Caenorhabditis elegans: one gene and its partner. The protein of the gene in region 1 interacts with the protein of each later gene in a pairwise test. Each region holds a gene or a part of one and is shown in the gene's direction. Other genes may lie near its edges.

Region 1 (14,855 bases):
TTAATCGAAAATTAAAAATTTTCTTAATATATATTGAATCTCCTCTCTGTGTTCATTTTAATCACCTGTAGAAACGCATAAAGAGTAGAAAGTGAAAAGAGGGCGGGCAAGTTAAGTGTTTGATTCATCATTAGGCGCAAATATAGTTAGGAGCATAAGAGGAGTGTCGTGTGTCTAATCAGCAACTAGTCATACTCTGCAATCTACATACCACGCTCATTTTCTATCGATTTCCGTGTCTCTAACACCGTTCTGTTTGAAAAAAACTGTTTTTATTTTGGAGAAAGAATTTTACTATACAATTCAGCTTTCACTATGACGTTTGCTAATTCTGTAAGTTTTTTTGCTTCATCTTTTAACTTGCTTCATAAGCATAATAATTTGAATTATAATTGAAAAATGTTATTGGCTGTGCAGCCCTTTCTCTTTTTCTCCGCAAAAAATTAGTTTTAATAATGGTCTCGATAATCTTTTTTCTTTATCGAAGAAAATATTAAATGATCACCACACTTTAAAAATGCATTTTATTTTACATCCTCGTATAGTTTTCAGTATGTCTGTCGATATTTTAATACTATTTGAGTCACATTTGGGTTTGTGTACATGGGACAGTCATAAATATGAATCACGTCTCGCATATCGTTTTTTTTGTAACTGGTTTTTCTAACAGCACAAAATCATTATTTATTATTTCAATACATTCTACAAATTTTGAAAAAAAAAACAATTATTTTTTTTTCAGAAACTGGATCCTGAGGTGATATTCACAAAGCAAGAGCGCATTGGTCGCGGCTCTTTCGGCGAGGTTTATAAGGGTATTGACAATCGAACTGGACGAGTTGTTGCCATAAAAATCATTGATCTTGAACAAGCAGAAGATGAAATTGAAGATATTCAACAGGAAATTCAAGTGCTCAGTCAATGTGATTCACAGTATGTCACCAAATATTTTGGCAGCTTTCTCAAGGTATTTTTTTTATAAATGAAACTTTAAAAAATCTAAATTGTTTCTGTTTTATTTTTGAAAATTTTTTAAGAAATACAACAAAAAAAAGATAATAAAACCAATCTGAAACATTTTTGAGCACCTATTTGAGTTTTTTTTTCAATTACACGAGCAAAATAAATTAGAGCAGCTTTAGTTCTATTTATATTGATAAACTTTAGCAATTTGAAAAGTAATCAATTTATAGTCACAATCACAACAATTTTTCATGAAAAATTCAATTAAAGTAATTTCGTTTCCAAATTTGAGTTATCATTATTTTGGCTCAGCATGTTCCTCGTTAATTCACTAGAGTTTACCATTTTAAATACCATGTCTTACAATTTTTTCTATTTTTCAGGGATCAAAATTATGGATCATTATGGAATACCTCGGTGGAGGCTCAGCGCTCGATTTAACTAAAAGTGGAAAGCTGGACGAAAGTCATATCGCTGTGATTCTTCGCGAAATTTTGAAAGGTCTCGAGTATCTGCATAGTGAAAGAAAAATCCACAGAGATATTAAAGGTGAGCTTTTTTAGTTTAAAATAATTTCCAAATTAAATAAAAATTCGAACATTTTTAAATGGTTTTTATTTCAATTTATTCTATGTTTGGGATTCAGGAGCCAACGTTTTGTTGGACCGTCAAACAGCGGCTGTAAAAATTTGTGATTATGGTGTGGCAAAACCACTCGACACAGTTTTGAAAGCGAATACTTTTGTGGGAACTCCGTTTTTTATGGCTCCTGAAGTGGTTAAAGGCGAATATAGTATTGAGGTACTTTCAAATGATGTCCTCTTTCCCCACATATTGTCGTCTTTTGTGATTGATATCTAGTGCTTAATCTGTTTCCCGGGAAATCATAATCACCTATTGTATTACAACCCTTTTGTTCACCTTTTGTTCTGTTTTCAGCTGCAAATGTACTTGTAAGTGAGCACGGTGATGTGAAGGTCGCCGATTTTGGAGTTGCTGGACAATTGACTGAAACTGTCAAAAAACGTATCACATTTGTCGGATCGCCGTTTTGGATGGCCCCCGAGCTCATTAAACAATCAAGTTACGACTATAAGGTAAAGCTTTCTTCCTTTTATGTTTCCTATGTAAATTCACCCTGGTTCGATTAGTATCGTGAATGAAAAAATTACGGGAAAGTATAGTGAAACTTTGGAATATAATAAGGTATTTTTTGGTTAAATTTATTGTTAAAGAAATTATTTTCTGTCAACCTTTTCGAAGTTTCACTGATTTTTCAATTATTCCAAAATTCTTTGAATAAAAACAAATTAAAGCCAGAATAAATCAAGTTGAAGTTCGAAGGAGCCTTTCTCGATCAAAAATCCTGATTTTCCGAAGTTAGAACATCTAAACTTTTCTGTAATTTTCTCATTCACCATACTTCTTATTTCAACCATATCACAATCTAAAATATGCAATTCAGGCTGATATCTGGTCATTAGGAATCACAGCAATTGAACTGGCAAATGGTGAACCTCCGCATTCTGATCTTCATCCAATGCGTGTATTATTCTTGATCCCGAAAAATCCACCTCCAGTATTACAAGGAAGTCAGTGGTCGAAACCATTTAAAGAGTTTGTTGAAATGTGTCTGAATAAGGATCCTGAAAATGTAGGTGTTCAAATGTTTGGTGAAGTTAATTTTTAATTTTTTTGATTCTTGCAGAGACCATCCGCAAGCACTCTTCTTAAACATCAATTTATCAAACGAGCCAAGAAGAATAGTATTCTGGTAGATCTCATCGAACGAGCAGCCGAATATCGGTAATTTATTGACCCATTTTCACATTTTCTGAAAATTTCCTATTTTTCTTCAGGTTGAGGACGGGAGTTTCAAGTGACAGTGATTTAGACGAAGATTCTGATGGCGGAGGTGGAACAAGTAAATGGGATTATCCAACGGTCCGCGGGCCACGTGTTTCAGCAGATGATGATGGGACTGTACGACAAAGGACTGATAGGCCAAGAGCTCAAGTTGATCGAAGATCGCCTAGTGGATCTCCGGGTGGTACCATAGTTAGAGTGAGTATTACACTTTTGAAAATATTTTAATTTTATTTCTGCCGAAATGATAAAATATTATAGTTCAAAAAAACTAATGTTCTTATTTACTGACAAAAAGCAATGCAAATTGATGTCGCCCTGTTGTTAAGAAAATTAAAGCGCTATCGCATGTTAGAAGCCCCACAGTATTCAATTTTAAGCATACCTGACTAGAACAAAAACTAGAAGAACTTTTTTGGATTTACGATTTTCAAAAAAAACGACAAAAAGATATTCCTGGGGAGACCATTTTTCATTTTTTTAAAAAATAATTCATTCATACTGATGAAATTACTGTATCTATTAAAATTAAGCGATCTTTTTTTCTATACTCTTTTTTAAAAAAATAACTGATTTTAGGGAAGTCCACAAGTTGCTGCAGTTGCCGAACAGCTTCGAAATTCTTCGGTTGGCTCCTCTGGTTATGGATCAGGCGGAAACTCGGCATCGTCTCAATATGCAACATCATCATTGCCTCAATCTCATACAGCTTCATCTGGAGGTGCTACTACCATCACGCTTGGAAGTCCAAATGGAAGTCCAACATCTTCACTTGCAAGAACACAATCCATGGTATCACCAAGTGGACAACGATCCGGTTCTGCCCAATCTTGGGAACTTGAACGTGGAAATCGACCTATGAGCGAACGGGTATCATCGCAAGTATCCCCGTCGAAATATAACCAACACAGGACATCATCGAGCAATGGTGTGCAAGGTGGAAGTGGTGGTCGTCGAGAATACATCAATGGATCTGGATCTGGATTAAATGGAAATAGTTCTAATCAGAATCATTCTGAATATTCGGATGCCGTGCGACAACGTGGACCAGGAGGGTCCGGTGGTAGACTTGATTATCGTGAAAGCCATGTTCCGACATCGTCACAAGAAAATCTGAATCATGGTAGAATGTACGGGTACGGAGCGCCACCACCATCAAGAGAAGCTAATAATGTTCCAATGCCTCGTGTGAAAGGTGCCCTCGATTGTAGTCTTCTTCCGGCAATCGAACATTTGTCTCGAACACGTCATGCGACTGCTGCTCTCGATCAATTGAGACACGTTTTTCGAGATGTTGAAGATTCTTGTCCTGGAATCTGTAATGAGTTAATCGAAGAGTTGATGCAAAGAATTGCAGTTCCTCAGGTTTGTGGAAGCTCTTTTATACTTTTAAAACAATTATCTGACATTTAGGTGAGCCAAAGTGACCTCGATGCTGCCATTCGCCGACTGACAACCCCACCATCTTAAATTTATAATCAAAAGACTTGTATCACAACATGTACTATCGTCAATCAATCTCCAACCTGTATGATATCCAAAGCAAATTATCCCCAACTTTTGTGATTTTTCGCTATCCAATTAAGATGGTTTCAATTTCGACCCATTTTGTCTGGAGTTCTTTTCGAAATTGACTCTTATCGAAAAAACAAATCTCTGTGTTATCCTACTTTTTCCATCACTTTTCTCCGCACGGTTCTCATTATCTTATGCGCTTTTCTTTTTCATTTTGAAAATATTTCTCATTTACTCCCCTTCTAGTACTATTCGGCCCCATTTTCTCCCAGGAGCAAGTTCTCCACATATCATCACGATTCGATCATTACTTGTAAATATATCAATAGTCGATTCGAGATTCATTGATTTTTTTCTCGAATTTCTCATTACCCTTTTCACTTTATTTCCAAACGATTCCGAGTGTTTTCTTCCAACCGCTCAATTTTCCACCTACCTAATTGTTCTTTATTATTTTAACCAAACTTTTCGATGATCACCGGTCTCATTCTCCCCATTTAGGTCATTTTTCTCATGTTTATTTTATTTGTGTGTGTGTAGTTTTAATAACTATTTCTCTTTTTTTCATTTATAATATCTCTCATTGCTCTACATATGTTCATATGTAGAGAAAAGAGAGATTACTATTTCCGCCTTTATCACTTTTTTTTCTCATTTGTTTAATTTAAACGCGGTTATTCCTCTTCACTTTTCCCTCCCACCCTTTTTTTGCTCCAAATCAAAAAGTCTTCCATTGACTGGATTTATTTTCATTAGTTCATTGATTAGTATTGTATTGGCAGTGTCCAGAGAGACAAACATGGATATGCCTTTGTGAATAAACAATTTAAAATCATGTCTTATTACCTATTAAAAAATATGTGTTACTACTTAATCAAACTGCTCGAGTATCTTGAATTATGAATAACGAACATGGAGAGAAAATGGTTTGTTAAATATGAAATTTGTGAAAGAAGAATTCTAGGTATTTACAAAGATCCAAATGGAATCAACGTGAAACAATATTAACAACTATCCTAGTTGCGCGTAATTGGATGCATGTATGGTGTTGTCTATGTCTCTTCGTCTGTCGTCATGGCCTTGCCCCGATTCATCGTTTTTTACGTCTTCCACCATCGCTCATTCGACAGTCTCGTTTATTTCATTTCCTTATCCTGTCGTTTCCTCTTCTTCTACATGACACATTTTGAACGAACGAATTTTACCGTTCTCTTCATTTCATATAATTTTCAACAAAAAAAAATTCAATTCATTTTTGTCACCCAAATCTCACCCAGTCCAACACCTTTTTATCGTCTGTTCCCTCTATTGTATGTACACTGTCTTCTCTCTCTCTATCTCTTTTTGACATCAATTTATATCGTCTTCTCTGTCATCTACATCGTCCCGTTTTCTTCATTCAAATCTCGCCACCATCCCAGCTTCTCTTTCTTTTCGGCTTCTTCTCATATTCCCTAATCCGAATGACGCGTGTTCTCTTTTGCCGTTTTTCGCACCGTATTCTCAAAACTACAGATTCTGACGTCACGCTTAGATCTCTTTATTGATTTTTACTTATTCAAATTAAATATCTCAAATTTTACAGAGAAAAAGGTCCGTCGGGTCGGGCCGATGAATCGGAAATTCTTCGCATGGCTTTTCACACTTCTCATTCTCAACAATGATGTAGTTCTATCAGCATATCACTGGAAAATTAGTGAAGATGGAAAGAAAATCCAGGCAGTTGTTAGTTAATTTTTTTTAAATAAAACTATTTGAACCAAAAATTTTCAGCCCGACACGAGGTACCATCTAAAATTACCGGGATCGTTGACCGACTTCATAACTCAAGTGGAAAATGTAAAAGTCGTCGATCGGCAGGCAAATGAGCTGCATGGATCGATGGGAAAAATAAAAAACCACGAGAATTTCGATAATCCAAAGTTTGAAGAAGACTTTAGGCGACAAGAAGAAGCATGTGTGTGAGTAATTTTAAATAACGGTAATTAAAAATATTTAATTTAGATAAGTTAGTTTTTGGTAAATTATCATCAGTATAAAACTCATTTTTGGGCAAAATTGTTCAATATTAAATTTCCTATATTTCCAGAAAATCGCGTGGAATACGACTGCAATCCGACAGTTTCCACACGTCTTTCACCGCGGAACTGTGTCCCGAGTTCCATGAGTCATATCAACAATATACTGCATTTGTCAAAGAATACTTTGGATCACCACCGGACAGTGATAAACGACCGCCTAGATGTAATTATTGGTTTGAAGCAGTCAAGATGAAGGGTCAGAATAATGTGGTAAGTTGTTTCATACTTTAACAACGAATCCAATATTATTTCAGGACCTTGGAAAAAGCTTACAAGATAAGTATGACGCTGATGACGACATGTATCTGAAAGTTCTTGACTTGTACTTCCCAGGATTCGCCAAATTCACGCGAGGATCCGAAGGAATGTCTCGCTTCGGAAATATGTTGTCAAGTATGCTGAGTCACGCTGATGAGGTTTGGATTAATAATTAACAATGCGATTTAATAAAACTAGAAATTTCAGAGAGTATCTCGCAATGCCTATCTTCATATGGCAGCTGCTGCCTACTGGAGAGCTCAAGGAAAGATTTCAGATGCGTTCACGTGCTATGCAACAGGGATACATTTTGTGTATGTTTAAGCAAGGAAAATCTGTAAAAATTACATTAAAACATTTCAGAAACGACGAAAATCGAGCACCCCACATCGGTGCATTCCATCCATCACATGCAGAACATACTATCAGATTGTCTATCGCAACTCTTCTGAATAGAGCCGGATACTCTGTAGAAGCTCATATTATTCTTAAAGTAAGCTCAGATCCATCTAAAAGTATTATATATGAAATCCTTTTTCAGCAACTCACTTCTACTAACACTGTGGCATGTTATAGCGGAATGATGCATGCAGCAACTGGAGATGCTTCAGTTCTAACTGGTCCGGAATCAGCTATCGACTATGATACCGAACAAATATCAATTCAATTGAAATTGACGAATAAAGAGCGAAAAAGCATGTTCAGCAACACTTTCTACAATTATGCAAAAGCAGCAAGTGATTTCAAGGTATCAATTTTTATTCTCATTTTTGTTCCAGAATATATACTTTTTTCAGGCTGCAAAAAAAGAACACAATCAAAAGGATGGAGAACTTTTCGATCAATCTTTTGATTCTGTTGAATCAAAAGCTTCTGTAATTTCATGTCATTTGAGGCTGTATTCAGCTCTTGAAAAACAGAAAAAGAACCTTGAAGAGCTAGTCGTTGAGAAAACAAATTTTCAAGAATCATACAATAAACGAGTTGAGATGAACTCAAATATTTTATCACTGATGCCATCAGCAGAAGCACGAGCTAATAGTCTACTTTTCTATGATCAAATCAAATATGGTGCACATCCCCGTTAGTATTAAATTTGAGTTATGTTAAGAAATCACAAAAAAAGTTTTCAGATCGAAAATGCCAGAGAGCGCAGATTAATAGATTCCCTGCCACAAATCATAAACTGAACTGGGCAACCACGATGATTTGCTCGGTGAGTGTTTTCTATACTTGTTATCCGAAGTAGATCATATTCGTATTTCAGCTATCCTGTACTCCTGAAAAATACGAGGAATCAATGGCGCCGCTGCGAGAGAAAACTTTACGAAATCGTCCGGCGATCAATGAAACTTCGTGGAAAGTTACAGAAGTGTATCCTCCAAATCGAGCATTTGAGAAGACATTGTTCGATATTTCAAGAAATAGTCAGCAGGATGGATACTTCAGAATGATAGAACCCCGCTTCACTAATAAAGAGTTCGTTTTCACAAACATTAAACACTTTATCAAAGTTAAAAACTGATAAGATTAAAAAAAAAAAACTATTTTTTAGAATCGATGAAAGTGTGGATCGATTTTGGAGACGAGCAGATTGGCCGAATTCCGTGGATTGTCAAGCTGTAGTGTCGTCATCCAATCCGTTCCGAATCAATACTTTCCCTCAAGTTTTTATTTCACCAGAAAATCGAGGATGGCTGTAAGTTCATTATATACACTGCTTCCATCAAATATGCTGAATTTTAGTGTCTCCGAACTGTTGACAACTCACATTGGACTTCAATCAGCCGATTCTCTTCCTCTTCCATGGTTTGAACCAAGATGTGATTTTGTAAAAATGGACGATCTTCGAGTTTTTAGTGGAGTGAGTTTTTATTAAGATTAATTTATCTTTATATACACCTTTTTCAGTTTGAAGCGATTGAGCGACTCCTGAATCCAAGATTTGATCGAAAATCCGAAGGCTATGCTGAAAAAACTTTGAAAACGACATTTGTCCGTCTAGCAGATCGTGTCATCGAAGAACATGAAATGGCTGCAAGAATTCAACTTTTGATGAAACATGTAAGTTCTGAATCCGCTTTTCATTTTTATTGAAATCACCTTAATTTTAGACCATCGGTCCAAGATGGGTTTCTCTGAACTTGGCAGGTCTCTACTGGAGGATTCAAGGAAATCCACATCAGGCTACAAAATGTCTTCTTGGTGCGTTCCTTGACAAACCTGAAGAATCATTTGTTTCGATTGTTCAACTTGCTCAAGTTATGCTCAAATCAACTAGAATGGTCAATGACGCACACGGGTTTCTGAATCAACAGCTCAATCTTCTTGGCTACAGTGAACCACTTTTCCATTATGTACAAGGACGTATGAAGCTTCTGCTTCACGATGTGGACAAAGCGATTCAGCATCTTAAAGATGCAATGGATAAAGATCCGAATAATCTGGTAATCCAAGAAGATCTTCTCAAAATTGCATGCAGTGGAAAGTCTACAAAATCTGCCATATCATCACAGTTCCCTACAGTATGCTGCTCGCCAGTTGTTCAGAATGCAGTTTGCATCAGGGTAAATTCAATTTAATAATATATCCTTTAATTTATAAATTGGAATTTCAGCCACGAAAAGATTCCGAAGAACAGTGCTACATCGTTGAGTCATCGAACATTCCGGATGCATCACCACAACTAGTCTATCATCGATGCAACGGATTCTATGATGGTTTCAGTAAGAAAACGGCAGATTATGCGAGCATCGTCTCACCATTTTTACTCGTTTTCAACACTATTACTCCACGGAATGATGTCACCAATTGGGTTAATCAAGTAGATGGAATTCAAACAGTTGAAAGTACTGAAATGCCTCTTGATTATGGTGGATGGAACTCATTTTTCACGGATAGACCTGCAGAATGGTGGGACAGTGCCACAAATGAGATGAAGTATATACTTCCGACGAAAAAAGAAAAAGAAGTTGATTCATGGGAAGAATCGTGGGAGTCAGATCTAGCTGAAATTCCGGGAAAACCTCTTTCCTACCTGTGGATTCGAGAAAAGTCAATGATGATTCAGTACGACGCCAAATTACCATCTGAGCTGCCAAAACCATCAATTCATCAAATTCGACGTGGAGTTTCACTTTTCCCTCCACCACGTGTGGCAACTATGTCTTGTAACGGAGTGGCCAAACCCGAAGCAATGTTCGAAAATGCTCCATCCACTTGGGTATCGTTAACCGCCAAAGGAGAAGATATTGAAAAATATGTTGATTTACGTGGACCAATGCCTGCAATGGCTTCTCTTCAACCAATCTGCCCTAATATGGATAAATACAAAAACTCACCCCTTCTTGGACTTGGTCATATTCCTGCTTTTGCTCTTAGCGACCAGTTCTTGTTCTACCAACCGGAGAAGGCTCTTGCTGAAGCTCTGAAATCACTTGGCAATGAAAGAGATACTATCGAACATGTAGCTGCTCGACTTCACGCTGCCATGCTTCACAGTAATGCTAGTATGTTTATTAAACAGTAAGTTTTTCTTATTCATAACATTAATTTTTCAGAGGATGGTCATGTCAGTTGGGTACTCTGTGTACTTTCTTCCCTCTACTGGAGAGTCACTGGAAATGCTGAAAATGCAATTGGATGCCTCCGATGTGCTCTTCATACTGCTCCACCACACATGAGAGACGTTGCTTTGGTGTCCCTGGCCAACATCTGCCACCAAGCTGGTCTCTTCAACTCTGCTCTGATCTCTGCCGGTGCTGCTCTCAGTGCTTCTCCTCGTCTAGTCGCCATCCATTTCACACTTGGCAACATCTATGCGTCAATTGGAGATTATCAGAGAGCTCTAAACTTCTACTACTCTACATTATCACTTCAAGCAAACTTCCAGCCAGCGAAAGATAAAATCCGCACGATATATTGCCATGCTGGGAAAGAATTCGAGTTTTAATTGTTGAATTTAATTTGGTTAATTATTCCCTTTTCAATTCGTTAATAGTTATAATTTTGCCTCATTTCGTGCCCACCAAGTTTGCTTGTTCACTTTCCACATTCTGTCTTGTTTTCATCAAAACGGGTAAATTATAAATTTCCTCATTTTTTTCAAAAAAGTTTATATAAATACATATTATGATGATCAAGATAATCTAATCACATGCATTAGCAAGAAAACTGAAACATTTCAGGATGAGACAATTTCACACGAAAAATGTTAAGTGTATTGGCCAAGAAGATTCCCTGTCGCCTGATTTCCAAATCATTCTGAAAAATTCCAAGTATTATAAATATGATTTGAAAAGATAATTTTTTGAACTCACCTTATATTGCCGATTCAAGCTTAACAATTTGGTCAATCTGTATGAGTATCTAGAATATTTATCCTTTGCGAGATAGTATTTATGAAGATCGTTGGCCAGAACATCTTGAAGACGATCAGTTATTTCTTGAATTCTTCCTCCCAATTTTTGGCCAGTCAAATGGAAACATAAATTACAGAGCATAAATGACAGTTCTACATCACTTGGGCGTAATTCCATTAATGCATCAATTATTGTCTCACAAAACCATCGCGGAAGGGGACCGATGAAGCTGAAATTAGTATTGAGTAACTGAAACAAACTGGAAAAATACTTACCTTCGTACTTCTCTATCAGTTGCTTCAGAAAACCAATCACGATCAATTTCCAGAGTATCGTAGTTAATTCTTTGCTCTGTTCCGTATATAAATTCCTGAAAACATAAAACTTACAAAGCTTTAAATATACTTAAAATAGTCCAACATAACCAATTGTCATAATTCCAAAAAATTCTAAATTCCATATCCAAAAAATTTCAACTTTCAAATGTTTCAATCAATGGTAACTGGCCACACACATGTAGTGGAAATTTTTGATATCATTTTTTCAAAATTATAACTCTTACTTTATCATCACAAAGCTTCATTCTCCGCATCTCGGCTGTCATTGAAATTCTCTCTAGACGAATAAACAGATGCCACATACATTTCAATATCACCATCTGAAAATTATACTCTATTAATTGAAATCTACTTTCTCTTTCAAAAACCTTTTCCTCCTGTTCCAATTGTCGAAACTCTTCAAAGTGCATAATCCATTCACCAGCTCTTCTCATTCCCTTTACCCAGTTGTCCCATGTTTCCATTTTTCCAATTTTTCTCAGTTCAGGAACACTTTCAAATAATTGCTCTTTTCTTACTTCCTGTAATCCAAAGGCTAGTTGTTCCAATGAACTCTTCACCTTAACCGATTTTTCCAATTTTGGAATCTGGAATATGTAAGATTAGAAAATATTTCTGTTGAGAACTTCTCTCGATGTTGGACAATACCTCTGCAGTATTTATTTTTTAACAGTACAGTTTTCCGGATAAACATATCATCACCAGCCCAGCTTTATTTTCGAAGGGTCTTGAAATTCTTTTAAAAAAAACAGGCTACTACAGTAACCCAACAAAGTAACCCAAAATGTACCAAAAATTATAATTTACGTATAAACACACATGCATCTTATTTTATCACCGAATATATTATTTAAAACATACCCTTTTGAGAATATAATCAGCATCTTTAATGATTGGTGTAAGATCGAAAAATGTGATATATTCAATGTTCTTTCCGGATCCAGTTGACGTGTATGTTGTCACAAGTTGTTTTCCCACGAATCGTTCGACAGACTGAATAACAAATAACATGAATAAGTTTTCATATTCCCAAGTGTTGTTTTCATTTTTGAAAAACCGTGATAGAAATCAATAATAACTTACCAATGGAACAATTGATTCAGATGTCTTCCTTTTTCTGTCATCACGAAAATTATCAGAAAATATAAATCTATCTCGATCCCTTTGAATGTCTGAAAATTGAAGATGTTTAGTTTTGTAAAGCTGAAATGTTCAAAATCTCACTGTCTGGCTTCATTCCAAGGGCAAAACATTTATCAGATCTACATCGCTTGCAACTCCATCTAAAATAATTGTAATTCAATCAAATATGTGAAATTTTTCAAATACCTTCCCCACTCATCCGGAGTACACTTGTTATCTCCTTCTCGACATGGAAATTGTTGCTTATGAGTGACAAATACCCTTCTAAAAATTGACAATTAACTAATTGCACACCATAAATACTACTTATTACCTGAAGAAAGCAGCACAAGCTCTACAGCTGTCAACTCCAAAATGATTTCCATGAGAGGGTTGGAAACATACCAAACACTTTTCGGATATTAATTTAGGAGTACTAGATGCTGAAGATGATGTGGAAGGTGATGATATAGAATCCATCTGAAAGTTCAAAAGTATAACTGAATTTTCATAAAAATACGGAAAGTCGTGTGAGAATGGAGGTTGCCATGAAGACCGACACCTTGGTTACCAACATACACACAGAAGTGCAACAAGGCCACGCGGAGACAAGATTAACCTCCTCAATTCGGGAGATGACCTTATGATACCCCGTGTTTGGACAACCCCGAATTCTCAATAGTGTTGTGGCGGAAAATAAAACGGCGGAAAATCAATAGTAGTATTTACGATACGCGTTGGAAATGTTTGATTTCCCGTGCCGCTGCAACGTTAAAGAGATACAGAGAAAGAAACATTTGTAATAAGCTTCTAATAATGTACTATAAAAGACTGGTGAACTTTAAAATTTCGTTAAGATTGACGGAGATCCAAATGAAGAAAATCTGTCTGAAGACATTAATTCAATTGAATTAGGCAGGGAGAAGACGTCATTTTATGGTTTGTAGGTAAAAATCACAGGGCAAACACATGAAAGTAAACGGAGATCATGCGTGAAAACACATCATTTAGGTTTATAATCGCACATTTCAACCAGCTCATCTAATTCAAGACATTTATTTTCCGCAATGAATTTAAAAAGTTCATGTACTTTATTCAAAGCTTTGAAATCGAAAGAAATCCGGATGAGAATACTTAATTCGAAAGGCATCAAATAGGTATCCAAGAAAGACTATCTTTCGTTTTTCCCCCATTATGGTCTGAAACTCAACAATTTATATGTCATTGCTGTACCAATGCAACTTACTTTATACTTTTCGTTTATCTTTAAAATTTTCAAAAGTCTATGCGAATATCGTGACATTCTATCTTGTTCAAAATAGTAGACGTGCAAGTTGTCGGAGAGTATTTTTAGAAATCGTTCCATGGTTTCTTGCATCGGACCACCTAATTTTCTTCCAAGATGATGAAAACATAGTTCACAAAGAATATAACAAAGTTCTTCATCTGTGGGCTGTATTTCCATCATGCACTCTGTTAGCCCTTCACATAACATTTCGGAAGGATCGCCTAAAAATGCCTTCATTTGAGCATTGGAGAGGTGTGAGAGCCAATCGAAATCAAATTTGACAGTCTGAGTATTCACAAGACTGTCCGATTTGAACGCATAATCCTTAAAAATACCAGAAAAGTTGAAGTAATTTTCAATTGTTCAAATAATGGCTAGTTACATTTTTCTGGCATTTATTTGCCTTTCGAAGCTTCGCAGTCATTCCACATCTTTCTAATCTTGCGAATGGAAACCACATGCACTGAACTATTGTCATCTAAAAATTAATTGATTCAAAACGATTTTTCAAAAAAAAAAAAGGTCTCACTTTGTCATCGAAGTTCAAATCTCGGTATTGATCCATATAAGATAACCATGTAGTTGTTCGTTCTATTTGTACTTTCCAATTTTCGAACGTTTCTTCTTTTCCAATACAGTTGATAACTGGGATATTATCCCAAAGTTGTGTTTTTCTGATTTCTTTCAATCCAAATGCAAGACGTTGAAGAGGAGTCTGACATTGAAATGGAACACATTTAGGTGTTGTCTAAAACAATCATATTTAAAAACAAAATTAAACAATTCTAACCTCTGATAAAATGTTCTCGACTGATTCAAGTAAAGATGAAAAGTCGAAATACGTAATGCATTCTGGTTTTGATGGAATGATTCGAGTTGACTTGTAAATAACTTGTTTTGGAAATTCTCCTGTACAGGAAAACATGTCTCGATTGTACTGAATATCTGAATAAAACCAATGTTAAATTTAAAAATAAATATATTCTCACTATCGGGCCTCATTCCAAGCTCAAAACACCTATCGGTTCGACATTTCCTGCATTTCCACCGTCCACGAGCATCG
Region 2 (15,655 bases), on another chromosome or scaffold:
CGTCAGTTGTCCTTGTGGAGGATTAGTTGCAGCTGAGATATCATTTCGGTCAACATCATACTCAATGCGAGCCTAAAATTATTTCATGTTATATAATGTCTTCTCTCAAATATTCTGTTGAAACCTACCGATTCAGTATTATAAATTGTGTGTAAAGTGTCAGTAATTGTTTGGTTATAGACAGTTTCCATAGAAGAAATGAAGTATCTCAAGCATGCATCCAATGAGGCAGCCTGCTCTCCAACTCCTCTCATAGTTTCTGATGTCATGGTGCATTGTGCCTGAAACAGAAATATTACATTTATAATTTTAAATTCGAAATTGGTGAAACAAATTATTTTTTAAAATTTTATCTTATCAATTTAGAAATGAAAACATTCAAAAAAATTCCTAACCAGACCCAACTTCTGGCCATGGAGCGCGCTTGAAACTCGATTTCAAGTGTTTTTTTTTTGAAACTTGCCTTAATCTGTTCTTCTTTCATTGACAATTGATAAAATGATTCCGAAAGTTTCTTCTCAGCTTCAGCCATTTGAGTGAGAACATGACTGAAATTTTTCGCGGCGGCAACGACGAGACCATAACGTCGATGAATATCCTTTAGAACTTCGCATTGTGCCTCGAACTCTGGATCTACAGTTTTATCAATTTTGCCCATATGCTCCAGCAATTGTTGTTTCGAGTTTTTAAACGTTCCAATTGTCCATTTCTTGAAAGACTCAACTTTTGCAGCAACTTGCGCCGTATCGATGCTGAAAATTTAATTAATTTATAATATTAAATAAGTTTACTGAGTTATAAATACTGAAATTATCTAACCGAGGGCATTTTTCCAATGGACGTTTCGAAACTGGCGTAGTAAGTGGTTGGCGGTTTTGCCTATACAGTTTAATACTATTTTTCTTCGACAGAAGACCCATTGAAAGTCAGAAAAAAGATTAGGTCGAAAAAATAAATGTAGAAAATGTAGAGAGGAGGGGCAAGCTTAGGTAAGTGAGGATGAGATGTACAGAGTAAATATTGAAAAAAGACGGGTTTTTAATCTACCGGTAGCCAAAGGTAAACAAGACAAGAAGAAGAGCCAAGATAACATATGTCAAAGTACCAAAAAACTTTATTATTACAGGAATGCAGAAAACTGAGCCATTTGAAATTGATGCTCTAGAGTTAAATGAAAATGCTCCGCCTTTAAACGTTGGGTCTCGTTAGGTATTGGCGGCAAAACGAGAAATTCGAACGTTTTCAATTATTCTTGCCGGTTTCGTAGATTTTCGAGCATTTTTGTACTTGTTTTCATTTTAAAAAAACATTAAAAGCAACGGGAAAAGTTAGAAAAAACGACGAACAATGCTTGAAAACGCTCGAATCTACGGTTTTGCCGCCAATTCCTGAAAACTTACTGCATCATAATGAATACCAAAACAGAAGATTCGCGCTCAAAAATGTCGAAATAAAACATTTCAAAAATATTTTTGACTTTTACGTGTACTCGGAAAAAGCGTGAAAAATAATTTCTTTCCGTTTTTAATACTTACTTGGCCACAACATCAGGAACTTTTATTCCAGTTGGTATTCTGCTCATTGTTTCCGTCGAATCAGAAGTTGGTGACGAGTCTTGAAAACAAAAATATCGATTCATTCTCAAGTATTTATTAAATTTATTCTTGAGGAATAAATATTTAAATGCTATTTAACGAAAATGAAAAAAAATGCATTTCACGTGAAAACGTGCATGGCTGTGTGGCAAATTTTTTCGGAAAAAGTAGGAAAGTGCTTATTTAGAATATGACAATACACGGATTACCATGATTTCACATTAAAAGCAGTTTTGTAAATATGTTCGCCGAAAAATCTTGCCGCACATCCCTAAACACGTGGCAAACGAACCGTTTTGCGTCACCGGTGCGAACGGTGAATCGGCGGGCGGTGCAGATGGCTCAGGAGGTGAAGCCGTTGAGCCCGTCATCATCTGAAACAGTCGCTATGACAACTAAAGAAGAATGACTTCGAATATACGAATTTGGCTAGCTACCAGGTAGATTAGGAGTGGAATGAGTAGGAAAAACAGTAAAAACTATTAAGATTTATTTTCATTAACAGTTTAAAAGATCTGATGTATTTACAACGAAACAGATTCGGGAAAAGAAAACAAACAGAAAATAACAAAACAATAACCGGATGAAAGTGGAGATTTGACAAAAAGAAATCATGATTGTGAAGGAATTATATACCTAGGAAAAAGCCATTTCACAAGAATCACGTTGACATGTAAACCGGTGTAAGGCACTTTGAAATGGGAAAAAAAGTTGAGCAAATAGTTGAGAAAACCAAAATAATGAAAGAAACAGACCAGTTGAAAGTGATTTTTTCTCCGCAAATTTCAAAACAATATATACATTTCTCAGGAAAAGAGAAGAAGCCACGTTTTCCTGATCTCATTTTTTTTATCTTGTCTCGCATCTATCGAATAAAGTGAGGAAGCGAAGAAGAGCGAAGGCGGATAATTATTGACCAGCGGCAAGGAATAGGGCACTAGCAGTGAAGGAAGCCTAGATATTTTGGGGAAAAGAAACAGAAAAGAGACAATGTACAAATTGATAATAAAAAAAACTGTGTTCAACTGATACTACACGGCTTTCCATCATCCTTAAACGGATTCCTTTTTGGTGAATTACCGTTTGGACGCTCCGTTGGTGATAGATTTCCACGCGAGATTTCTATCTCACGGAGAAGCAATTCGAACACCTCATGCACTCGATTCTGAAAATTGGAAGGATGAAGCAACGTGTCGAAACCTGTAGGAACACGTTGACTAAGAGAGGTGCAGACGCTTTCCCTTTTTTTATTCGGAGATAGAAGAGAGAAGAGAGGTTGCAGAAAAAAGAAAAATTGCGAAATAAATATGGGAGGGACACATATTAGACGCAAAAATGAACACACTATGTTCGCAGTTTTCCATTTTCCGGCAGAAATCTTATTACCGATCCGTAGAATGTTTATTGGATGATTTTTTCATAGATCTCATTTAATCTAAACTTTTTATTTCATAAATAAGTTTAAAATTTCTAAAAAGTTTTATATGTATTCGTAGTTTACATTTAAATTTTCACAATTTAAAAGTATGTAGTACTCTTTTTTCTAAAAAAAATTCAACTCACCGATTCTCTGGCCGTGATCTCGACAAACTTCGCATCCCATTGTCTAGCAAGTTCTTCACCTTCTTCTGCTCGAACGACCCTTTGCGTGCTGAGATCCGTCTTGTTTCCAACAATTACAATTGGAATGCTGGAAATTCTTGATTTTTGACTGCAATTTTACTTTCTGCTCAAATACCTTGTGTCACCATAGGTTCTTACGATTTTTTCATAGATGTTGCTGCACATTTCGAATCTGAATTTATAAATCTAAATAAAACAAATAAAGAAAAAACGGAAGTCTTACGATTTTCTATCATCGATTGCATAAACAAGTATAAATCCATTAATATCAAGGGAACAACTTCTCGGGAAAACTGTGTATTCTTGTTGTCCTGCTGTGTCTGGAAATATCTAATATCAGTTTTCAGTAAGCTCAAAAAATGATAAAATTTACCAGTGACTCTTAAATGATAGTCCCTGTGAAACGCTGCTATGTGCTTCGAATGTTGATCCTCAATTGTTGATTCATACCTTTCAGGGAAAATATTTTGTGTGAAACGAAGTACCAACGCCGATTTTCCTGTAAAGTTTCTCAACGTGAATGTCCTTGTTTAAATAAAGTTGTTTTAATTTTTTCATTGCTTTGTTCAATTTTGCTCCCGGTATGTTTGATTTTCTACAAAAAAAAGTTGTCGTAAACGCTCACCAACATGAGGATATCCCATAACGGCCACTTTTCGATTCAGACTCTGACGATTTGATTGCAGCGAACTGCTCATCTTCACAAAAATGAGTATATTCTGAATATTGAATGATTGAGTTTTGATAGAAGTATAAAAAATTAATAAATAAAATAAAAAGGGAAAAGTAAAAAAATTATTTTTTTAAACACTCATCATTATTTTTAAATTCTCTATTAATATTTAACATGTAGAAACAAAGAAATGATGTACTTTTGCAATAATATGCGCTTTTTTCCTGATAAAACGAACTAAAAACCAACTGTAAATAGAGAATTGCAGGCGAGAGAGCGTGTGAAAATAAGAGACGGAGGCGCATGATACACTTCTTGGCAGCAAGCCAAACCCACCGTACCCAAGCAAACCTGCAGATCAAACTCGAGATCGATATTTCTGGCGCAAAACGGCCGCCAATTTGAGCCCTCCGCGTTGAAAGCGTTATTATCATTCGAAATTGGCATAGGTCTTATCAAGAATTATATTTTATGTTTGTACGGGCAGATATAATCTTTTTATCATCATTTTTGTTGTTCAATTAACCTCCGCAAACTTTTAAAAACTCAAAAACATTTTCCTCTGAAGTGTTTTCTTGTTTTCCCCGAATTTTGATGAGTCCTATTTTATTTATTTGTATCAATTTCAGTGAAACGAACCGTGTTTAAGTGTAGAATATGGGCGGACCAGAAAAAAACAGCACAGTACCACTGCCAAATAAGAAAAGGAAGAAGAAGACCAATAAGAAAAAGGTGAGCATTTTTCGGTTTCTGTTCAGAAGTTTTCCCTTTTTCTAAACACTTACACTTTCGAAAAATTAAAGCTCAGTCTGTTCTGACACTAAATCGAACCCAAAGAATACTCTTTTTTTCTAATGGCCTCTAGAGATTTGAAAACTTCAAACAGCTCTGTCGCATTCCCTTCATTTCACGCACTTCCGAGCTTACTCTCTTGGATGCGAGCCCTCCACTAATATATTCTCACATCAGTTTTAACTTAGATTTCTCCTTTGCCTCAAGTAAAATGAGAACGGCTTCATTATGAGCCAGTGGCAGCCGCTAATGACCCAGGGGTAGAGATAACCACTAATTTTCTTTTCTTACACTAGTTTTAAAACAAAACAAAGTGAAAATTTATGAGCATGCTTAGTATTTTGCATTCAATACATTGGCTATATCGCCGATTGAATGTGAGTTTAATAGAATTCTGCCATTAAGCTTTTTTAATCTTCATATTTCAGCCCACAGCACCAAACACGCCTACATCTCCTCAAGCGGGTGAGAAAAACGCAAATTTGAAAAATGGAACAGTTACAACAAACGGATCAAATCACGTGGAAAGGTGAGATTTTGAGTTTTTTTTTTTAATATGCTTTAATTACATCGCTGAAACCGGGACCAAAATGATTATAAGTTGTTTGGTGTAATCGTTGCATCGTCCTTTTCTCATGACAGCAACTGGTTGTCTTTTCACTTCGTCTCAAATGATCCCACCTTCGTGTGTCCGTCATCCATCCACCCATCCATCCATTCGTCCCTTCTTTTCTATCTTCTCTATTCCTTCACCTTGGCCTTTTCTCTCTGTCAGCTGTCTCCTCTTCGCGACCTGGCCGACAAGTTGAAGATTGAAACAAGGAAGAGAGACCCAGGATTTCCTCTATCTCTTGTTGGGCGCCGCAATCATTACATCACTATCACTTGAACACTCTTCCTTCTCACACCGATCGCGTTTTCTTCAAGTCGCTCCTCGCGCCTCGTTGGCCGCCGCCAATATTCTCGAGACACTTCTCGCGCCGCTGATCTTCCTTATCCCCCTTCCCACTCTCAAAGCGTCGCAACTCGCTTCTACGTGGTCGCTATTTCAAAAAAAATCGCCTGCTTTTGAATCCAGTTTTCTTCTGTCAGGCTGGCCGGTCGAGCAGTACATTCGCTCTCAGCTATCGATTACTCGGGTATAACAAATGATGTCGAAGCAGGCGGCTCCTTCAGCTTAACTGACGTTTTCCCCACTGTCATATTCATGTTTGTGGTTCTATTCTGTAGATGGCTCAATGGCTTCAGCCAGCATCGAGAACGACTTTATAAATTCGAAGATGAAGCCGTTCAGAGACGCCGCCGTTTTCGTGTTCATTCAGAGGAATCGGAAGAACTGAATGACCACGAATCGTATTCTGAAACTGATATTTGTACACAGCTTTTGGCATCATCTGCAGACGTAACCTGTCATATAAATGTTGATTTGGTCAACCAGAATCGATTTTATTTCTTTGTAAAGCAAAGAAATAAAAAAGAAAATTCGACCAATGAAGAAGAAGAAATCTCTTCCCAAGAAATAAATACGAGTACACAAAATGAAGAGACAGAAGTTAATTTAGTGTTCGCTAGTGCGGAAGATAATGGAGGCGTCGCGTCGAATTTCGATATATCAGACGCTCTAATGGTTACCTCTAACATTTCCGAAGTCAGTAAACTACCGGAAACGTTGTGCGAAGAGGGTGAAACTGTACAACAAAAAAGTGTTGTAAATGAGAATGATCATTCGAATGAGGACGATGAACAGTCGCTACAATCACAAGATGGTTCAAGATGCTCTGATGAAGACATGAACTCTTGCGTATCTGCCTCAGATGAAGAGGACGTTGAATCTCAAGATGATTCTTTTCATGTGAATGATGCTACCGAAGAATCAATTGATTCGGTAAGCTCTATTGAATCACAAGAAGCAGAAGAGTCAGCAACTGAAGATTTGGCGTCGTGTCATTCGAACGACGATAAAAATGAAAAAGATGTTCTTGTCGATGAGGACACATCCAAATACGATAACCTTCCGGTGGAAATGCGGTCAGCAAAAGAGGGTGAAGAGAGTGAAGGGACGATCGATTCTTCAGTCTCCTCGTCGACATCGTCTTCCTCAACGGGCGACGACGGGGACGACAGTGCTACCTCTTACGACTCAGAAGATATCGAAATTCAGATGTTCGAGTATGATCTGGGAACCGCATGCGCTTCAGCTTCTATTTCTATTCCTCGTCCATCTATAATTCCAAGAAATAACAAAAAGTAACATTTATTTTCCATTAACTAAATTAGTATTACTAATATCAATCAGAAACTGTCTTTTAATTTACATTTTTCAGGACCGAAGTCAATGCTAATGAAGAGCGTTTGGACGATTTAAGTGTGAGCCCCGGACGAAGTGATTCTCCTGGAGGCGGCGGTGGTGGACATTCAGATTCATTCCAAGATCCAATGGTGAGTTGATTTTTGCATTTCATTTTTTTGTATTTATACATATTTATTTTCAGGATCCTGGAGAACAACTTGGATCTGACGATGAAGAACAAGAAGATCCACGTGATTACAAACGAGGTGGATATCATCCAGTCAACATTGGTGATGTATTCAATGCGAGATATCATGTGATTCGTAAACTTGGATGGGGTCACTTTTCTACGGTTTGGCTGGCGTGGGACACTCAAGACAAACGATTTGTTGCCATGAAAATAGTGAAGTCAGCGGAGCATTACACGGAAGCGGCTCTTGATGAAATTAAGGTTAGTTTTGAAGTAACGTAGTGCTGAAACAATAGATTTTTATGCAACATTCTCTGAGACTCGAGAAAAAAAAATTAAGACTAATATAAAACGAGAATAATTTCAGTTGTTGCTATCCGTACGAAGTGCTGATCCAAATGACATCGGATGCCACAAGGTTGTTCAATTGCTCGATGAATTCACTGTTACGGGAATTAATGGTCAGCACGTTGCTATGGTGTTTGAAGTTCTTGGGTGCAATCTGTTAAAGCTGATTATACGCTCAAATTATCGAGGACTTCATCTGGAACAAGTTAGGAAAATATGCAGACAAGTTCTGGAGGCGTTAGGATATATGCATGAAAAGTGCGGCATCATTCATACTGATATTAAACCTGAAAATGTGCTAATCACGATGAGCCGAGAAGAGATCAAGGTATTTTTTAAAAACCATTAATTGTGGAATTAATTTTTCAAAATTTTACAGATTATGGCTCAACATGCTGTAGTTGCCCGGAAGATGAATATGAAAATGAGTGGATCGGCTGTCAGTACTGCACCGGATCATTTGGTGAAAATGGCTCAGGAGAATATGACGAAAAACAAGAAGAAAAAGATGAAGAAGAAGGCCAAAAAACAACGAGAGAAGTTGGAAGCGGAATTGGCTGGACTCGAAGGCCTCAAAATGGACGCTAATGGGCTGCAGGAGGCATACAATAATGCACCGGTAAGTTGAACACTATACCGTTCTTCTTCTAATAGTATTGCACCCCAATACTTGAATTTTTAAATTTGAAAGAATATATCTCTGTTCATTTCAAAGATATCATTTCACATTTTAATTTTGAAACGATAGAAAAAGAAATAAAAAAGTATTTTCTTAGTTGACAAACATTGGAAAAGTTTCGATGTGCAATAATAATAGAGGAAATACGCTGGTAATTTTTAAAAAATCAAGATTATACTCTATCAATCATAATTTTTTAAAAAACGAAACAAAAACGATAAAACTGATATATAGCAAAATGGTGTCCGAATGCGTCCTCCATCTTTGCTCTTCAATGGTCCGATTCCCCAACTGCTTCAAGGCAGTTCTTGTGTGAATACGCCATCGTCTCCAAGAACGGTTCCACCGCCACCACCATCTCTCTATCCACAGGTTGGATGCGTCTGCAATCAGACGTATCATCTGACACAGGTGATCCTGAATGCGAATGTTGGTGTGAGTGTTTGGTTGTGTTGACATGATGATGGTTCCCTTCTACTCTCTCTTCCTCGATTCACACACTTATTTCCACTCTGCAACCAAAATTACCGGAAGACGCTTGTATATTCACACGTACCTCATTTCTCCTTCCGTTTCTTTATTTTAAAATTCACTGACTATTTAGTTTCGGTTTTTTTTGCCGCTGCGCCCTGGATGCCGTCTGCATTTTTTCGTCGTTTCGTCTTTGTTGCAGAAAATACATCAGTGCTGTATCTAATTTTTATCATATATAAGCTTAAACATGTTGTGAATTCAGTTTAGAAAAAAATCTGAATCAATTAATTTAATTTTTATTTTTTCAGGAGTTGGAGAACTTCAACGCTTCACAAGTGGAAGATGTCACCATGGAAGATACTGTCAATGAAAATGGAAACAGAAACAAGGTATGATATATTTCATTTTTGTAGCCACAACCATTTATATTTTCAGGTGGAAATCAGGAGCCCTGATCGTTTCGATAGAACCACGCTGACTCCATTCAGTGATCCGGAGAGCAAGTTTGGAGATTTGGCCTCACCATCCGCCGAATATCTGAGCTCGCCCATGAGCCAGTTGCCTCCAGGTGGTATCCTGCCTGCTCCTCCAGTTGGCCCCAACATTGGTGATCCATATTGTGACATCGACGTCAAAATCGCTGATCTCGGAAACGCGTGTTGGGTGAATCATCACTACACGGACGATATTCAAACTCGTCAGTATAGAGCACTTGAAGTGTTGATCGGTTCAGGATACGGACCTCCAGCTGATATTTGGAGTACCGCGTGTATGGCTTTTGAATTGGCAACCGGTGACTATTTGTTTGAACCACACCAAGGAGATAACTATTCACGCGATGAAGATCATCTTGCGCACATTTCCGAACTTCTTGGAGCAATTCCACCGTCAATTTACAAAAAGGGTAAACATTGGAGAGAGTTCTTCCACAAAAATGGACACTTACTTCACATTCACCAACTTAAACCATGGTCACTATACGAGGTTTTGAGACAAAAATACGAGTGGTCTCATGAAGACGCGCAGCAGTTTGAAAGTTTCCTTCGTCCGATGCTTGATTTCGATCAGGAGAAACGATCTACGGCCAAAATTGCATTGAAACATCCGTTCTTGTTACCATTTGGAGGAAGAGCGCCAAAATCTGATTGTCCACCTGAGGTTTTATATTAATTGTCTGTTCAATATTTTCTCTATAATTTTTACAGCTTCTGAGCAAGATGTTTCCGGATGGATTGATTCCCGAGCCGTTCGACGGAAATGAGCATCAGGAAGTTTACCGTGACGAAAATGATAGTAGATCGGCGAGGTTCGTAAGCTCGGACCGACGCGGATGTAAACGCAAATTGCAGCGAGAGGAGTGCCAATAGCAGGTCTGCGGGCGGCAGCGACGACGACGACGAGGAGGAGTTCAACATGAATCGACCTGGTCCATCGGGGGTGATAACAAACAATGAAACGACCGACATTTCTGACATTGAACGCTTTCAGCTGGATTTGCAGTAGTGCACGAATCCCTCCTGTTTGTTAACACTTCCATCACCGTCTCGTCACTCTTCAACGCCCTCTTGCACATCTCCCGAGTTAAACATGTTCTCCTGTCAATTTGACGATATTCATCTTTATGTTTTTCCTTTTTTCAATCAAATTTTACTCGTTTCTTGCCTACGATAGGTGAAAAGAAAACACTTCGGGCTAATTTTTTTTTTCAGCATTTTCCAATCTTTTGTTCCAGAGTGTTTACTTTTATGTTTTGAATCTAGACAGTGTTTAACTTATTGTTTCGGATTTCAACAATCATCCGACTACTTCATCTCCCCATTCTCCCTGTCACTTTCTACATCGAATCACCGCATCCTTTCTCTTTTTTACCACCGTTCTTCCTGAAGTGACTGAGCAGTAAGCACGTTTAGCGCCACTCTCGTGCGCGTCTCGTTGAAGCGCCTTTTGATCTTTAGTGCTACTGGTATAATATAATTATTTTGTACGAACATCGTCCTTATCCTCTGCCCAACAACATCATATGCTTCTATCAGCCTCAAACAGTAGATCATCTTTTCCCCCCATTTCTTTTTCATTTATATTCCTCCGTCTGTTCACATACCCAAACTATTTGGCATAAACCTTTCTCAAATCTTTACTGTGCTTCATTGCTTCCTTTCCCCTTCTCTCTCTCTCATTATCTCGGTTTCCTCGTAGACATAAATGATTGAATTTTGTAACGTTAGCGAGATAAAAAATAATTGATTCATGTGGGTGGTCGTCGAGAGATCGTAACAAAAGAACAACAAAACAAAGCGGGAGAAAATAAAAACCTGTTAAAGGATACGATAATAAACATCATATAAAAACTTGAATTGAATTTTTCACGCCAGGACGTATGTCATGTTAATTCCTGATGGTCCGATTGAGGTCTGATCCAGATATCCATGATTTTCATGTTTCACAAAATGAATAAATTGAGCGATAGCACGGAAGAGATTGGGTGATTGACGGAGAACGTTGCACTTAATTGCATATCCATTTTCATCAATGTGCACAAATTCAGCGTGTGGAGGAGATTTTGTAACCTGAAAAAACATTTCTTGAAGTGAGGAGGAACAAGAGTGAATTATTATAAGCCATACCATGTGAAGATAGAAACTGAATGGAGTACGTTGAGCAGATGATGGTTTTTGAGCATTTTTGACACAGAATCGGCTGGTGAATGGCTGGTCAAGGCTGAAAATTGATTTAATTTTTAACACAATTTATTGAATTAAACGTTAAAACAGGATTATAAAAGTATACTTTTTTCAGATTAACTGAAATCTAATATATTCCAGAAAACAATTACTAACCGACTATCTCCAACGAGACAATTGGAATTGAGTTGAGCATCCATATAAGCCAGAAAAATGTCGAATACGAGAACTGCATCAGTTGGCAACGAATCATTCCATTCACGGCGAACAAGACGTGTCATTTGATCGTTATCATCGGTTGGCTCTGAACCACCCGAATTCCATTTGTATGCATCCATAAATTGAGTGGCACAAAGCTCTTTGATTCGACTGATCAGATATTTTTGATTTGGATGGACACTGAGGAATGGAAGAAGGAATGGAAGATCTGAAGATTTGAGAGAATCTCTTTCAATTGCTGCAAGTTTCAGAGCATCAACAGAAGATACTCCAACACGAAGTGGAGGATTTGCATGCTCTTTATCGAGTATTTTATTGACTTTATCAATGTGTTCGGCCAATGGTTCGAGAATTGTGTTGCGAATCCAGGCTCTAGTCATAAACTCGGCTCTTTTCTGCTGATCTTCCGTTAATAATTCTCCAGTTTGGTATCTGATTTCATTTTCAGTACTAGTAGATCGTTCAGGTGAACTATGAGATCTACGCCGACTACGAATCCCGGCACGATCGATTGAATTGCTTCGTTTCAGAATTCCAGTCTTTCCTTCGGGAGTTAACTTCGCCGCATTCAGTATTTTATGCAAACGGACAAGTTCGTCTTCATCCTCTTCCTCGATCTCTCCATCTTTGCCACGTCTCAACATTTTTACTTCCGTTCTTCCATTTTTACCAATTTTCATTCGGTATGCTGAAAAATAATACAAATTTGATGATTTAAAGCATAGTTTGTTGGTGGAGTGACGGACTCAAAATTTCCCAAACCAACCAAATTTTGTAATGAAAAATCTTGAAAATTTCACAATTTTTTTTTGAAATGGTGGACCGAAGATGCAACTTACATGAGTTAGTATTCCCATCATTCGTGATTTCCTCAGAAACCTGCCAAGTGTTATTCGCACTTATCTGACCACTGCGTCCTAAACCAAATACACTCCAAATGGAAGAAAATGTAGAAGTATTCATATCGACTGGAATCTCATCCTGATTAGATCGGAGAAGCACATCAAGCTGTTTTCTTGTATGAATCGATTCATTAGATTTTCCATAAACTGCCGGGCTTTTCCATCCCCCTTTGGTATCCTCCAGAATTCCCGAAGTGTCTGAGACTGAAACATTTGACATCACTTGTGAATATGAAGGTGACTTCTTGTTTGGAGAAGGAGATTGTTGAAGTTGGCTTGATTTGAATGATGGAGTACCGAAACGGTGAGCATCAACCCAAGAAAGGTCATTGCTTTGTACACTTGTGTCGAGCACATTCTGAGCATCGGGCACTATTGGTGTACTTTTTGATGATTCTGGACGTGGTGGTTTTGATTGAACTTTGTTGTAAACCAGCTCTGAAAAACGATAGAATAAGTTTTTTTAGAATAACTGAAAATCTTACGCTTCAGGGCATTCGGGAATTTGATCTCAAACGCGTACGATGCAATCATAATCAATGAATAAATTATGACGAATAGTGAAATACTAGAATTTACGTAGGAGGGAAAGAATCCGAAAAGAAGAATTGCAGAGGTAAACGATGAATTGAGCACCAAATGCTGAAACAAACTGGTTAATAAAAATTAATAGTTTCATCTCTTACATCAATAGAGAAGCCAGTTAAGAGAATGATGTGCCATTTGATCCTGGTTTCCAGCATTGTTATTCTCGATTGTTCTAGTCTCTGATTATCATTCACATATCTGCTCTTGCACACTGGGGACATTTTGTCTTCAAATGCTGACCGGTTTGATGCCTGTGATGTGTTGAGTAATGAATAGTCTGCATTTTGACTTTTCAGTCGTTCGCGGAGTGAATCCGCAGTCATTGTGAACCTGTAACACACTAGAGTTGATGTAAAGCTTGCGATTAGATTAATATTTATATTAAAACAACAAATTAGTGAGAAAAATCACAGAAAAAACATTTTCGAGGGAGTTTTCGATAAAATATTTTCGAATCTTTTTGTCCTCGTGTACTACGAGCGCGTTGGCCTAGAAAACGCATGTCAGCATTTTCTAGGCCATTTCGGAGATTTTTAATAATTTTATTTTTTTGGCTCAATTTTAATAAATATAGCTTTCTATTTAATTGTCTTAAATATTTAAATATATTAATTTACAGATCACCATGTCCGACGATAAATTAGACACTCTTCCGGATCTTCAATCGGAAACGTCACATGTCACAACTCCTCACAGGGTACATTAATAGTGAAAATTAACAAGATGATGTTTTATTAAATATCAATTTCAGCAAAATGATCTTCTTCGTCAAGCGGTCACTCATGGAAGGCCACCACCAGTTCCGAGCACATCAACTTCTGGAAAGAAACGAGAAATGTCTGAACTACCGTGGTCAGATTTTTTTGATGAAAAGAAGGACGCAAACATTGATGGAGATGTTTTCAATGTGTACATAAAGGGAAATGAAGGTCCAATTTTCTATTTGCTTCACGGTGGAGGTTATTCAGGCCTCACATGGGCGTGTTTTGCGGTATGTTTTGTTCTATTCTAGTGTCAGTCATTAATGGTTCTGTTCAGAAAGAATTGGCAACTTTAATATCATGCAGAGTTGTTGCACCTGATTTAAGAGGACACGGCGACACTAAATGTTCTGATGAGCACGATCTTTCGAAAGAAACCCAAATAAAGTGAGGTTTCGCTTTGATAAGTTTTGTAACTTCTATCGACATATTGTAGAGATATTGGAGCAATCTTCAAGAACATTTTCGGCGAAGACGATTCACCAGTATGCATTGTTGGACACAGTATGGGTGGTGCATTGGCCATTCATACATTGAATGCAAAGATGATTTCTTCAAAAGTCGCTGCACTCATTGTCATTGATGTTGTCGAAGGTTCCGCTATGGAAGCACTTGGAGGAATGGTTCATTTTTTACATTCAAGGCCTTCTTCATTTCCTTCTATCGAAAAAGCCATTCACTGGTGCCTTTCTTCGGGTACAGCGAGGAATCCCACAGCTGCACGGGTCTCAATGCCGTCTCAAATTAGAGAAGTATCGGAACACGAGTACACTTGGCGAATTGATTTAACAACAACAGAACAGTACTGGAAAGGATGGTTTGAAGGATTATCCAAAGAATTTTTGGGATGTTCCGTTCCGAAGATGCTTGTTCTAGCGGGCGTTGATCGGCTGGACAGGGATCTCACAATTGGTCAAATGCAGGGAAAGTTTCAGACTTGTGTGTTACCAAAAGTTGGACATTGTGTTCAGGTAAATGTTATACTCAATTAATAATTTATATAAATTGTCTTGCAGGAAGATAGCCCACAAAATCTTGCAGATGAAGTCGGAAGATTCGCTTGCCGCCATAGAATTGCCCAACCGAAATTCTCAGCCCTTGCATCACCACCAGATCCAGCGATTCTCGAATACAGAAAACGTCATCACCAATAATTGCTCATTTTGTTTTCCAATATTTTCACAACATTTCTATACAAGTTAAGAAAAAAATATTTTATATGAAAAGATTATCGATTAAATTTCCCGTCTTTTTAGTTCTTGGGAATAATAAATGTCAGCGACATACGAATGAATCGATTATTTTAGAGGAGAGGCAGATGCCAAAAAATTACAGTCAAAAAGAAGTATTCGTGAAAGAGTGCGCAAATCGAGAGACGCAGACAGAATGCAAACGCGCTCCGCTGAACTGTGGCCGCCAAGCGTTTCGTTTAAAAGGGAGCGTTGTCTATTTTCCTATCTATTCTTGCCAGTTTTATTTTATTTCGCAACTATCTTTTTACTACGATTTTCGAAAATATTTTCAAATTCAAGAATGTAATTATTTTGTGTTTCAGAAACCATGTCGACTTCTGTTAAGCATCGTGAGTTCGTCGGAGAGCCAATGGGCGACAAAGAAGTCACATGCATCGCCGGGATCGGGCCAACATATGGCACCAAGCTCACCGATGCAGGCTTCGATAAAGTATGTAGATTTTTTTTTCTCAAATTTTCGATCAATGTTAAAATTTGAATTTCAGGCCTACGTACTGTTCGGACAGTATCTCCTTCTGAAGAAAGACGAGGATTTGTTTATCGAATGGCTGAAAGAGACGGCTGGAGTGACTGCAAATCACGCGAAG

Evidence for each region.
Region 2: the proteins of ttc-17 (region 1) and spk-1 interact in a two-hybrid assay, tested with the Caenorhabditis elegans proteins (one large-scale study listed by BioGRID).

Annotation. Positions count from the first base shown.
Region 1 is NC_003283.11:8,951,116-8,965,970, forward strand, and holds ttc-17 (TPR_REGION domain-containing protein), read left to right. Parts: upstream 1-5,929; 5' UTR 5,930-5,955; coding exon 5,956-6,069; intron 6,070-6,117; coding exon 6,118-6,305; intron 6,306-6,433; coding exon 6,434-6,635; intron 6,636-6,679; coding exon 6,680-6,841; intron 6,842-6,890; coding exon 6,891-6,997; intron 6,998-7,046; coding exon 7,047-7,176; intron 7,177-7,224; coding exon 7,225-7,431; intron 7,432-7,480; coding exon 7,481-7,766; intron 7,767-7,816; coding exon 7,817-7,899; intron 7,900-7,950; coding exon 7,951-8,162; intron 8,163-8,238; coding exon 8,239-8,382; intron 8,383-8,429; coding exon 8,430-8,547; intron 8,548-8,594; coding exon 8,595-8,747; intron 8,748-8,797; coding exon 8,798-9,250; intron 9,251-9,300; coding exon 9,301-10,192; intron 10,193-10,243; coding exon 10,244-10,635; 3' UTR 10,636-10,820; downstream 10,821-14,855. Other genes in the region: gck-1 (Germinal center kinase 1), read left to right, coding at 743-967, 1,347-1,512, 1,903-2,060, 2,429-2,617, 2,672-2,769, 2,823-3,027, 3,409-4,194, 4,243-4,299; Nuclear hormone receptor family member nhr-44, read right to left, coding at 10,845-10,946, 11,003-11,273, 11,320-11,414, 11,607-11,702, 11,751-11,969, 12,244-12,375, 12,466-12,554, 12,607-12,665 and 2 more; nhr-219 (Nuclear Hormone Receptor family), read right to left, coding at 13,596-13,703, 13,751-14,116, 14,175-14,270, 14,322-14,540, 14,583-14,737, 14,782-14,855.
Region 2 is NC_003281.10:9,452,094-9,467,748, forward strand, and holds spk-1 (Serine/threonine-protein kinase spk-1), read left to right. Parts: upstream 1-5,434; 5' UTR 5,435-5,890; coding exon 5,891-6,930; intron 6,931-7,007; coding exon 7,008-7,122; intron 7,123-7,175; coding exon 7,176-7,424; intron 7,425-7,530; coding exon 7,531-7,839; intron 7,840-7,890; coding exon 7,891-8,130; intron 8,131-8,424; coding exon of another isoform or gene 8,425-8,601; intron 8,602-8,972; coding exon 8,973-9,053; intron 9,054-9,099; coding exon 9,100-9,822; intron 9,823-9,869; coding exon 9,870-9,970; intron 9,971-10,013; coding exon 10,014-10,167; 3' UTR 10,168-10,914; downstream 10,915-15,655. Other genes in the region: F54C8.7 (AH domain-containing protein), read right to left, coding at 1-72, 129-281, 464-752, 1,536-1,614, 1,888-1,966; rheb-1 (GTP-binding protein Rheb homolog 1), read right to left, coding at 2,617-2,760, 3,159-3,285, 3,334-3,390, 3,442-3,538, 3,592-3,717, 3,844-3,916; B0464.6 (uncharacterized protein), read right to left, coding at 11,028-11,231, 11,289-11,382, 11,502-12,252, 12,404-12,904, 12,952-13,108, 13,153-13,377; B0464.9 (putative protein phosphatase methylesterase 1), read left to right, coding at 13,680-13,751, 13,806-14,045, 14,093-14,202, 14,252-14,786, 14,832-14,969; baf-1 (Barrier-to-autointegration factor 1), read left to right, coding at 15,376-15,498, 15,554-15,655. UniProt on the Caenorhabditis elegans protein: Required for embryogenesis and germline development in both adult hermaphrodites and males. SR-protein kinase (SRPK) that binds directly to and phosphorylates the RS domain of rsp-3/CeSF2 in vitro.